2 linked regions of the Caenorhabditis elegans genome follow. The protein of the gene in region 1 purifies or fractionates together with the protein of each later gene. This does not show direct contact. Each region holds a gene or a part of one and is shown on either strand. Other genes may lie near its edges.

Region 1 (3,920 bases):
GAAATGTTAAGGAAATATATGAAAACATCACACCAAGTTTTTAATAACAGTAATCCTTAAAGGCGCAAATCTTTTCGCATTAACAAAAACTTTCTTGTCGAGATCGGGAACCGTACTTGTTTTTGGCAAAATAATTCATGCGCATGCATTTCAGCCTCGTGGCTTTTGATAAAACTTTCATTTCGGATTCATCCTTCAACTTCGTAAATATTTCCACCGGCCTTACCTGTACCAATTCAATTGTAGCAGAATAGCAAGCGAAGAACTGAGAAGTCCTGCCAAAAGCCCAATTGCTTGCTTTTCAGTCAACGAGCCACATGCTAATGGTCTTAGTTTCGTTCGTTCAACCTGAAACAGTTTTCGGTTTTTTTTTACTTCTCATTTTGAAAAACCTTCTTATCAAAATCCTTATCCCACAAATCATTGATAACACATCCGGCACTTCTCATCAAAAAAGCACCAGCTCCGAACAAAGAAAGCATGTAGATAGATGGTAATTGACCAGCTGGAGTTGCCATTGCTATGCTCCATGTGCATGGCCAATACAGGAGCCAGGTACCTGAAAAATAAACGTTAAGGACTCAAATCAAACCAATTGCGCACGTGAAAATTTTTGCGCCGAAAGTACAGTACGTGGTCTCGACACGACAACATTTTGTTGAATGCAGAAAGGTGCGTGCCTTTAAAGATTACTGTAACTTCCAAACTTTCGTTGCTGCGGAATTTTCATCGAATTTTCAAAATCGATTAAAACTACAGTACTCTTAAAGGCGCACATTTGTTTGTATTTTACAAAATTAATCGCGTCGAGACTAGGTATCGTATTTTCGGCGCAAAACTCCCAAAACTTCGCGTCTGTGTAATAATAAATTACCGATAGGCTTGTCGACTCTCATCAGTTGAAGATATGGCTTCAAATTTGGCGGAGAAGAAGCAACAAGGCTACTTGCAGTTGGTATCAGTGACATTGGTTGTTTTGTACTAAAATTATAACAATTAAAATTAAAATTTTCGAATTCTGAACCTAGTGGAAATCCATCTTTTTGTTGATTCATCTAAACTATATGAAGTGCTTGTATTTGATCCAACAATGCAATTAATCGAATTGGATCTTCTAGCGATACCTATTGACCTGGTTATCATTTTTTTTTGACGAATCTGAAAACTTTCTCTCGTCAAAGACATGATAACATGAATTTGAAAAAACAAGCATTAAGTTAGGGACGAAAACCTTTGCTCTTTGAAACTAATACTTTGTATTTAGAAAATCAACAACAATTTCATTTGAATGAGGAAGAGAGTAACATAACCAACAATGATGAATAAAAAACAAAGAAATGAACAATTTTTGGGGAGGGGCGCGGGGAAACGAACAATAATGGAAATAGAAGAAAAGAGCAAAGCCTACGTGCAGAATAGAGTGAAAGCGGGAAATATTTCTCTTCTGCGTCTCTTTCTGTTTGTGTGTGATTTAGAATTCCATACTATCCGTCTTTCGGCCTTCGACCACAACTGAAGTGATAACATGTCCGTCTTCGGTTTCCTTGGATTCGAGCTCACGGCGAATTTCAGGCGAGATGAGATAGTGTCCATGGAACTATAAATTGAAATTGGTTAAAAACAATGGAAACATTGAACTCATGGGACCATAAAACTTCGGAAATTACCTGACTTAAACTTTATAATTATGAAAAAAAAATTTACGTGACCAATGATGTGAACCCATACGCCAGGAAAAAAATTAAAAAAAAGAAGAAAACACGCATAAGATCGATCAGAAGTGAAATTTTAATCATTTCGATAATCGTAGAAATTAATTCTACACTCTTTTCACATAATTGGCGCAATGGAGATCAATGAGCAACCATTCTTTCACGGACTTCTTCCACGAGAAGAAGTAAAGGTAATTTGAGAGTAATATTTATTTAAAAGGAGCACCGACTTTTTCAGCTTTTACTTCAAAAAAATGGCGATTATCTGATGAGAACGTCAGAGCCTCAAGGACAAGCACGTCATTTGATCATTTCGGTGATGCAGAACGAGACAAGTCAAGAAGTTGCTCATTATGTGATTCGTACAAGCGACGGAGCATATTCAATCACTGATAAAATTAAATTTGGAACATTGACTGAGTTAGTAAATCATCACAAACAGGCTAAAATTAGTGAGGTACGAGCGATTCATGCACATTATAGACTAATTATTGTTGTTCAGGAAGTTGCAAGCAGTGTTCTAGTGAATCCTATCGGTAGACAATCATGGGAACTGAATCACGCCGATATTACAATGACAAAAGTTCTTGGTGAAGGTGCTTTCGGAGAAGTAAAGCTTGGGACGCTGAAAATGGGATCGACTACAGTAGATGTCGCTATAAAAGTTGTGAGTTGGACTAGACTTTTATATAAAAAGTAATGACGAAACTTCAGGCAAAACTTGAAAAAGTGACTAAAGAACAAATCAAGGAGATCATCACAGAAGCACGTCTGATGCGCGGATTCGATCACAAGAACGTTGTAAAATGTTACGGCGTGGCTGCAATCGATGAACCATTGCTAGTAGTCATGGAGTTAGTTCCTGGTGGTGCTCTGGATAAATATCTTCAGAAGAATTCATCGGTACAATGGCCTGAGAAACTGGATATAATCGCACAAGTGGCAGCTGGTCTGGCATACATTCACAGCAAAAACATTATACACAGGGACATTGCGGCCAGAAACATACTCTATGGAAAAGGCGTTGTATGTTATAAATAATTTAAAAGTTAATAACTAATAACGTTCAGGCTAAAGTCTCTGACTTCGGTTTATCTCGAGTTGGAACGGAGTATCAGATGGATCCGAGCAAAAGAGTTCCAATCAGATGGCTCTCACCAGAAACGATCGTTTCCTTCCTTTATACTCCACAAACTGATGTGTTTGCTTTCTCGATTCTCTGCTGGGAGGTGATCGAGAATGGAGCTCAGCCGTATCCGGAGATGTTGGTGGTGCAGGTACATCAGAAGGTTGGACGCGATGATTACCGTATGCCGATTAGTCAAAAGGCTCCAGCTATGCTTGCCGATGTTATTGTAAGTTCTATTTCATTCCACTATTTTCATAGCAATGTGGAATTTTCCAGAAAAAGTGCTGGATTCGCGATCCTCAACAGCGCCCCACTATGAGCCAAGTTGTCCAGATGATGTACGAAATCACAGGAAAGAAAGATAAAACCTCGGTCAACAAGTCGACAGGACAGCTCCGTGCAAAAATGATGTCTACTGGACCAATGTCAGATCCGATGAGAGATAAAACTGCTAAAAAGACTGGAAGACGTAACAAGAAGAAACCGTCAAGCGCATCGAACGGTCCAGGTGGCAACTCTGGGCCTAGTTCGGGTCCATTGTCTGGTAAGGATTCGAGACTGAAGAAGCCATGAAAATAACTCTCCTAACTAGATGTTCTCGTGATAATAAAACTCGAAGTTTTAATAGTTTTTAAAAATTAAACTTACTCTGATCAGCTCATAAATAGCTGCCTTCTGCTCGGCATTCAAATCGTTCTTGTATCGCTGGCACAGTGCCAAAAGACACTGATGCCACAAAACTGGCATATCTCGTTCATCGGTTTTCAGACGAATGAAGTGATTAACGACTCCGTCGACTGCACGATACGGTAAAGCATACTTCTTATCAATGAGAGCTCGAAGAAACACGGAATTAGCTCCAGTGTATTCCATTTCGGCAATCTGAAATATCAACAGGTTTTTGATGAGATATTTTAAAACAAAAGTTACCCTAAGCATAGCAGCAGCGGAATGAAAAATTGGAATCGGGACTTTGGTGAGGACAGAGCTGAAGATAACAGCTTCACGAAGTGTACATGTTCCAGACTGAGAAAAAAAGAATATACATGAAAAATATTTAAGTTAAACTCACTTCTAAT
Region 2 (3,920 bases), on another chromosome or scaffold:
CAATTTTTATTTCAAATTTTGGAAAATAATTTTGAAAAATACAAATTTTGCGTGAAATTGTGGCACTTGTTTTCTTGCCAAAAATTTGAGAAAATAATCAGTTTTTACAATAAAAAATTTGCAAATCCAATCATTTCGACTTATTCGAACTCCGTTTTCTTTTCTGGACAAAAACTCAAGCTAGACAAATCAAAAAATGGCACAAATTGCGGGAAATGGTGAGTTTCTGGTCGATTCTACAATAATCGGAAGACTAAAAGGAAGTTTCAGAAAAAAATGTGCTAACATCGGCGGAAGTTACAACCATGCAAATGAAATGCACGTCCCCTGATCAGGATCTTGTCGTTTATCCCAGGTATGTTAGGCAGGTAGGCAGGCGTGAGACAGACACGCAAGCAGGTAGGCATGTAGGCAGCTAAGATTGAGGAGACAGGTAGGCATGTAGGCGCGTAGATAGGCAGCTTTGGAATTGGCAAGCAAGGCGCCAGGTGTGAGATCGGTGTATAGGTAGACATGCATAAATAAGTACGTAGGCATAAAGTAGGCAAGCAGGCGCAAGGTAGGCCTGGGGTAGGCAAGCAAACTGCGCCTGCCTAGGCATGAAAATGTACCTGCCTACAATAAAATCTGTAACTTCCAGATGGCTGTTCTTCTACTCGCAAAACGAATACCGTACTCCACTTTACGTCCGATTCTTTGTTGCAAATCGTGATCCGCATACTGTTGCATACAACATCAAGGCAAGAGTAAGGAAGTTTTGTTCTTCAAAAATCGACGCCTAACCTACCTACCTACCTTCCAGGAAAAGATCTTCAAAGTCGACTCGTCGTGTGGAATCCTGAAGCCCGGCGAGAAAAAAGTCATCAAACTGTTTCTGATGTCGTCGGACGATTGGCCACTGGCATACGGAGAGTACACTCAGAAGCGGTTGAAGTTGGCCGTCGAGTGTCTGAGAGTTCCTGATGAAATTCAGCCGACTAGTGAGAAGGTGAGATTTTGTGGTGTGGCCGAGGCAGAGGAGAAAATATCGCCCAAAAATTTTTAGAAAAAATTTTAAAAATTTCCAGGAATCGCGTACAATTGCCCGAGCTCTTTGGAAGCGATCGTACAATGAGTGGCCGTTGGAGCGTCTTTACACCAAGGCATAAATTCAAAAATCTTGAAAATCAATAAAATCAATATTCCAGTTGAACATCTCCCTGGTTTCTCCAATCAACAACGTTCAAGCTCCCGCCACCACGGTCTCCACAAAAATTGCGATTTGATTGATTACTACTAGAATAAATACATTGAACATGGAATTTTTTGAATACTTTTCTTTTTTTAAGTACTGGTTCTACCCAGAGGTGGCCGGCGATTCCCGTTCGGCAATTTTTTGTCGACAAATTAGGCAATTTGCCGGTTTGCCGATTTGCCGGAAATGTTCAATTCCGGCAATTTTCCGGTTTGCCAATTTGCTGAAATTTTTTAATTTCGGAAATTTGCCGAGTTGCCGATTTGCCGGAAATGTTCAATTCCGGCAATTTTCCGGTTTGCCGATTTGCTGGAAATTTTTAATTTCGGAAATTTGTCGAGTTGCCGATTTGCCGGAAATGTTCAATTCCAGCCGGTTTGCCGATTTGCTGGAAATTTTTAATTTCGGAAATTTGTCGAGTTGCCGATTTGTCGGAAAATTTTAATTCCGGCATCATATCAGCAGTTTTAACCTTTCAATGCCCCTTGATGACGTGATTCTTTACTCAGAACGGACTTCTGAGCTTCTGAGCCTCCTGAGCCATGAAAAGGATTCCTTGAAGAGCTGCTGACATAATAATCATTATATTATTGCATATAGCCTACTCTAAGAACATGATGATTAATAGGAATAAAGTTGAATTTATGGCTTCTTGTCTCTTTTCTTCGCTCTTCATAAGTTGAGCTTATCATTGGGCAAGCTTCTTTTAATGTTATTTCTACGACTCTTCATATTCACTCCATTTTTGGTTAGTCTCAAAAGTCTCAAAAGTTCAAATAACAATCTGATATCCAGATATTGGCAAACTGCCAGGCTCGTCGAACAATAAAAGTCGGTCTCCTATTCGTGCAAAACGTTTCAAGTTTGCAAGTCGGCATTGGGTATAGAACTTCGGCGGCGGCGGTTCTGGTGACAAAGAATAAGATTCGGGAGGATCATGTGCTGGATGGGTTTGATTTTGAGTAAGTGGGAATTACAGGAGATCTTGATATGCCGTGGTAGAAGCTTCCAGAAAGCTCCGAAATGTTCTCAAATTTTCCACCAAGTTCCAAAACATTCCAGATTTTTTTTCTAGTGCTCTAAAATGGCCCAGAAAATTTTATGTTGTTTTTCGAAATTTCTAGATATTTCCAAAAGGTTCCAGATTATTTCAGAAGTTTTAAATTTTTTAGAAGTTTTAAAAATGCTTGAGAATTTTTTTAGAATATTTCAGAAGATTTCAGAAGTTTCCAGAATTTTCTCGAATTTTCCAGAAATCTCCAGGAGGTTCCTAAATTGTTCTCAAATTTTCCAGCAGTTTCCAGAAGTTTTCAGATTTTTTAAAGAATTTTCTGAAAGTTCACAAAAGGTTCCAATATGATCCTAAATTGTTTTCAAATTTTCCAGAAGTTCTCAAAAGGTTCCAGAAATTTATCGAGTATTTTAAAAGTTTTCGTACGGTTCCAGAACTTTTTAGATTTTTCTAAAAGTTCACAAAAGGTTCCAGTAGGTTCCTAGATTGTTCTTAAATCTTCCGGAATTTTCCAGAAGGTTCAATAATTTTCTTGAATATTTCAAAAGATCCCAAAAGGTTCAAAAATGCTGTCAAATTTTTCAGTTTCCAAAAGTTCCCAATAGATACCAGATCATTCGAGATTTTTTTTTAATTTGCAAAATGGTCCAGAAGGTTTAATGTGCATTTTTCAAAATTTCTAGACATTTCCAGAAGTTTCCAGAATTTTCTCGAATATTTCGGGAGTTTCCAAAAGGTTGAGAAATTATTTCAAATTTTCTGAAGTTTCCAAAAAGTTTTCAGGAGGCTCCAAAAATGTCTCGAACATTTCAAAAGTTTCCAGACGGTTCTAGTACTTGCTAGAATTTTCTAGAAGTTCCCAAAACGATTCAGAAGGTTTTATACGTTTGTTTCAAAATTTCTAGATATTTCTAAAAAAAAGTTCCAGAATTTTTTAGAATATTTAGGGAGTTTCAAAAAGTTCTAAAATGTTTTTAAATTTTCCACCAGTTCCCAGGAGGTTCCAAAAAATGTCTCGAATATTTTAAAAGTTTCCAGACGGTTCTGAAACGTTCTAGAATGTTCTAGAATTTACCTGAAGTTTCCAAAAGTTTCCAAAGAGTTTCGGAAGGTTCCAGAACTTTTCGAAATTTTTGAAAAAGGGAAATTTGAATTCCCGCAATTTTTTTCGAAAACTTATCTCATATATTGCCTCGTTCCAGATTCCTTTGGGACTTTGACGAGTGTAATGAAATTCTGGGCGCCGGGAAGACTGTTGATCTACTTGAAGTCAAAAAAGTCGACGTCATATTCGGCCCTACTTGTTCTCGACGTAAGCTTTCTCCCTCTAAAAGAGACCCTATCCAAAAACTGTTCAATTTTCAGCGGCTCTCATCAGCTCCGCTCTCGCTACTTACTACAACATCCCAATATTCGAGTGGGGGTTAACATCGACTAGACAACTAACCGATGTCAAACGATTTCCTACAACTCTACCATTTTCCGTGAATAGCTATAGTCTGGCTATGGCAATTCTTGGAACTTTAAAGCAATTCCAGTGGACGGAGTTTGTGTTCCTGTATTGTAATGATGGAGACGATGAGAAGTGTGAATCACTTAAGGATGATGTGCAGGTAAGTTGGGGAAAAGTGGTAAAACTTAAAAAAAGGTTTTCAACAGACAGTAGCCTCTGCG

What was found.
Region 2: the proteins of F57B9.8 (region 1) and gcy-17 fractionate together in Caenorhabditis elegans (co-fractionation; one large-scale study listed by BioGRID). This does not show direct contact.

Annotation. Positions count from the first base shown.
Region 1 is NC_003281.10:6,933,205-6,937,124, reverse strand, and holds F57B9.8 (Tyrosine-protein kinase), read left to right. Parts: upstream 1-1,805; 5' UTR 1,806-1,846; coding exon 1,847-1,903; intron 1,904-1,950; coding exon 1,951-2,169; intron 2,170-2,214; coding exon 2,215-2,379; intron 2,380-2,426; coding exon 2,427-2,738; intron 2,739-2,782; coding exon 2,783-3,067; intron 3,068-3,117; coding exon 3,118-3,414; 3' UTR 3,415-3,464; downstream 3,465-3,920. Other genes in the region: coq-2 (4-hydroxybenzoate polyprenyltransferase, mitochondrial), read right to left, coding at 227-348, 393-559, 875-981, 1,025-1,143; Cell adhesion protein byn-1, read right to left, coding at 1,472-1,597, 3,490-3,723, 3,772-3,867, 3,914-3,920.
Region 2 is NC_003279.8:2,231,123-2,235,042, reverse strand, and holds the start of gcy-17 (Receptor-type guanylate cyclase gcy-17), read left to right. Parts: upstream 1-1,943; coding exon 1,944-1,982; intron 1,983-2,029; coding exon 2,030-2,196; intron 2,197-3,448; coding exon 3,449-3,558; intron 3,559-3,611; coding exon 3,612-3,859; intron 3,860-3,905; coding exon 3,906-3,920. Other genes in the region: dct-9 (Major sperm protein), read left to right, coding at 197-218, 271-355, 641-746, 803-988, 1,068-1,142, 1,188-1,265. UniProt on the Caenorhabditis elegans protein: Guanylate cyclase involved in the production of the second messenger cGMP.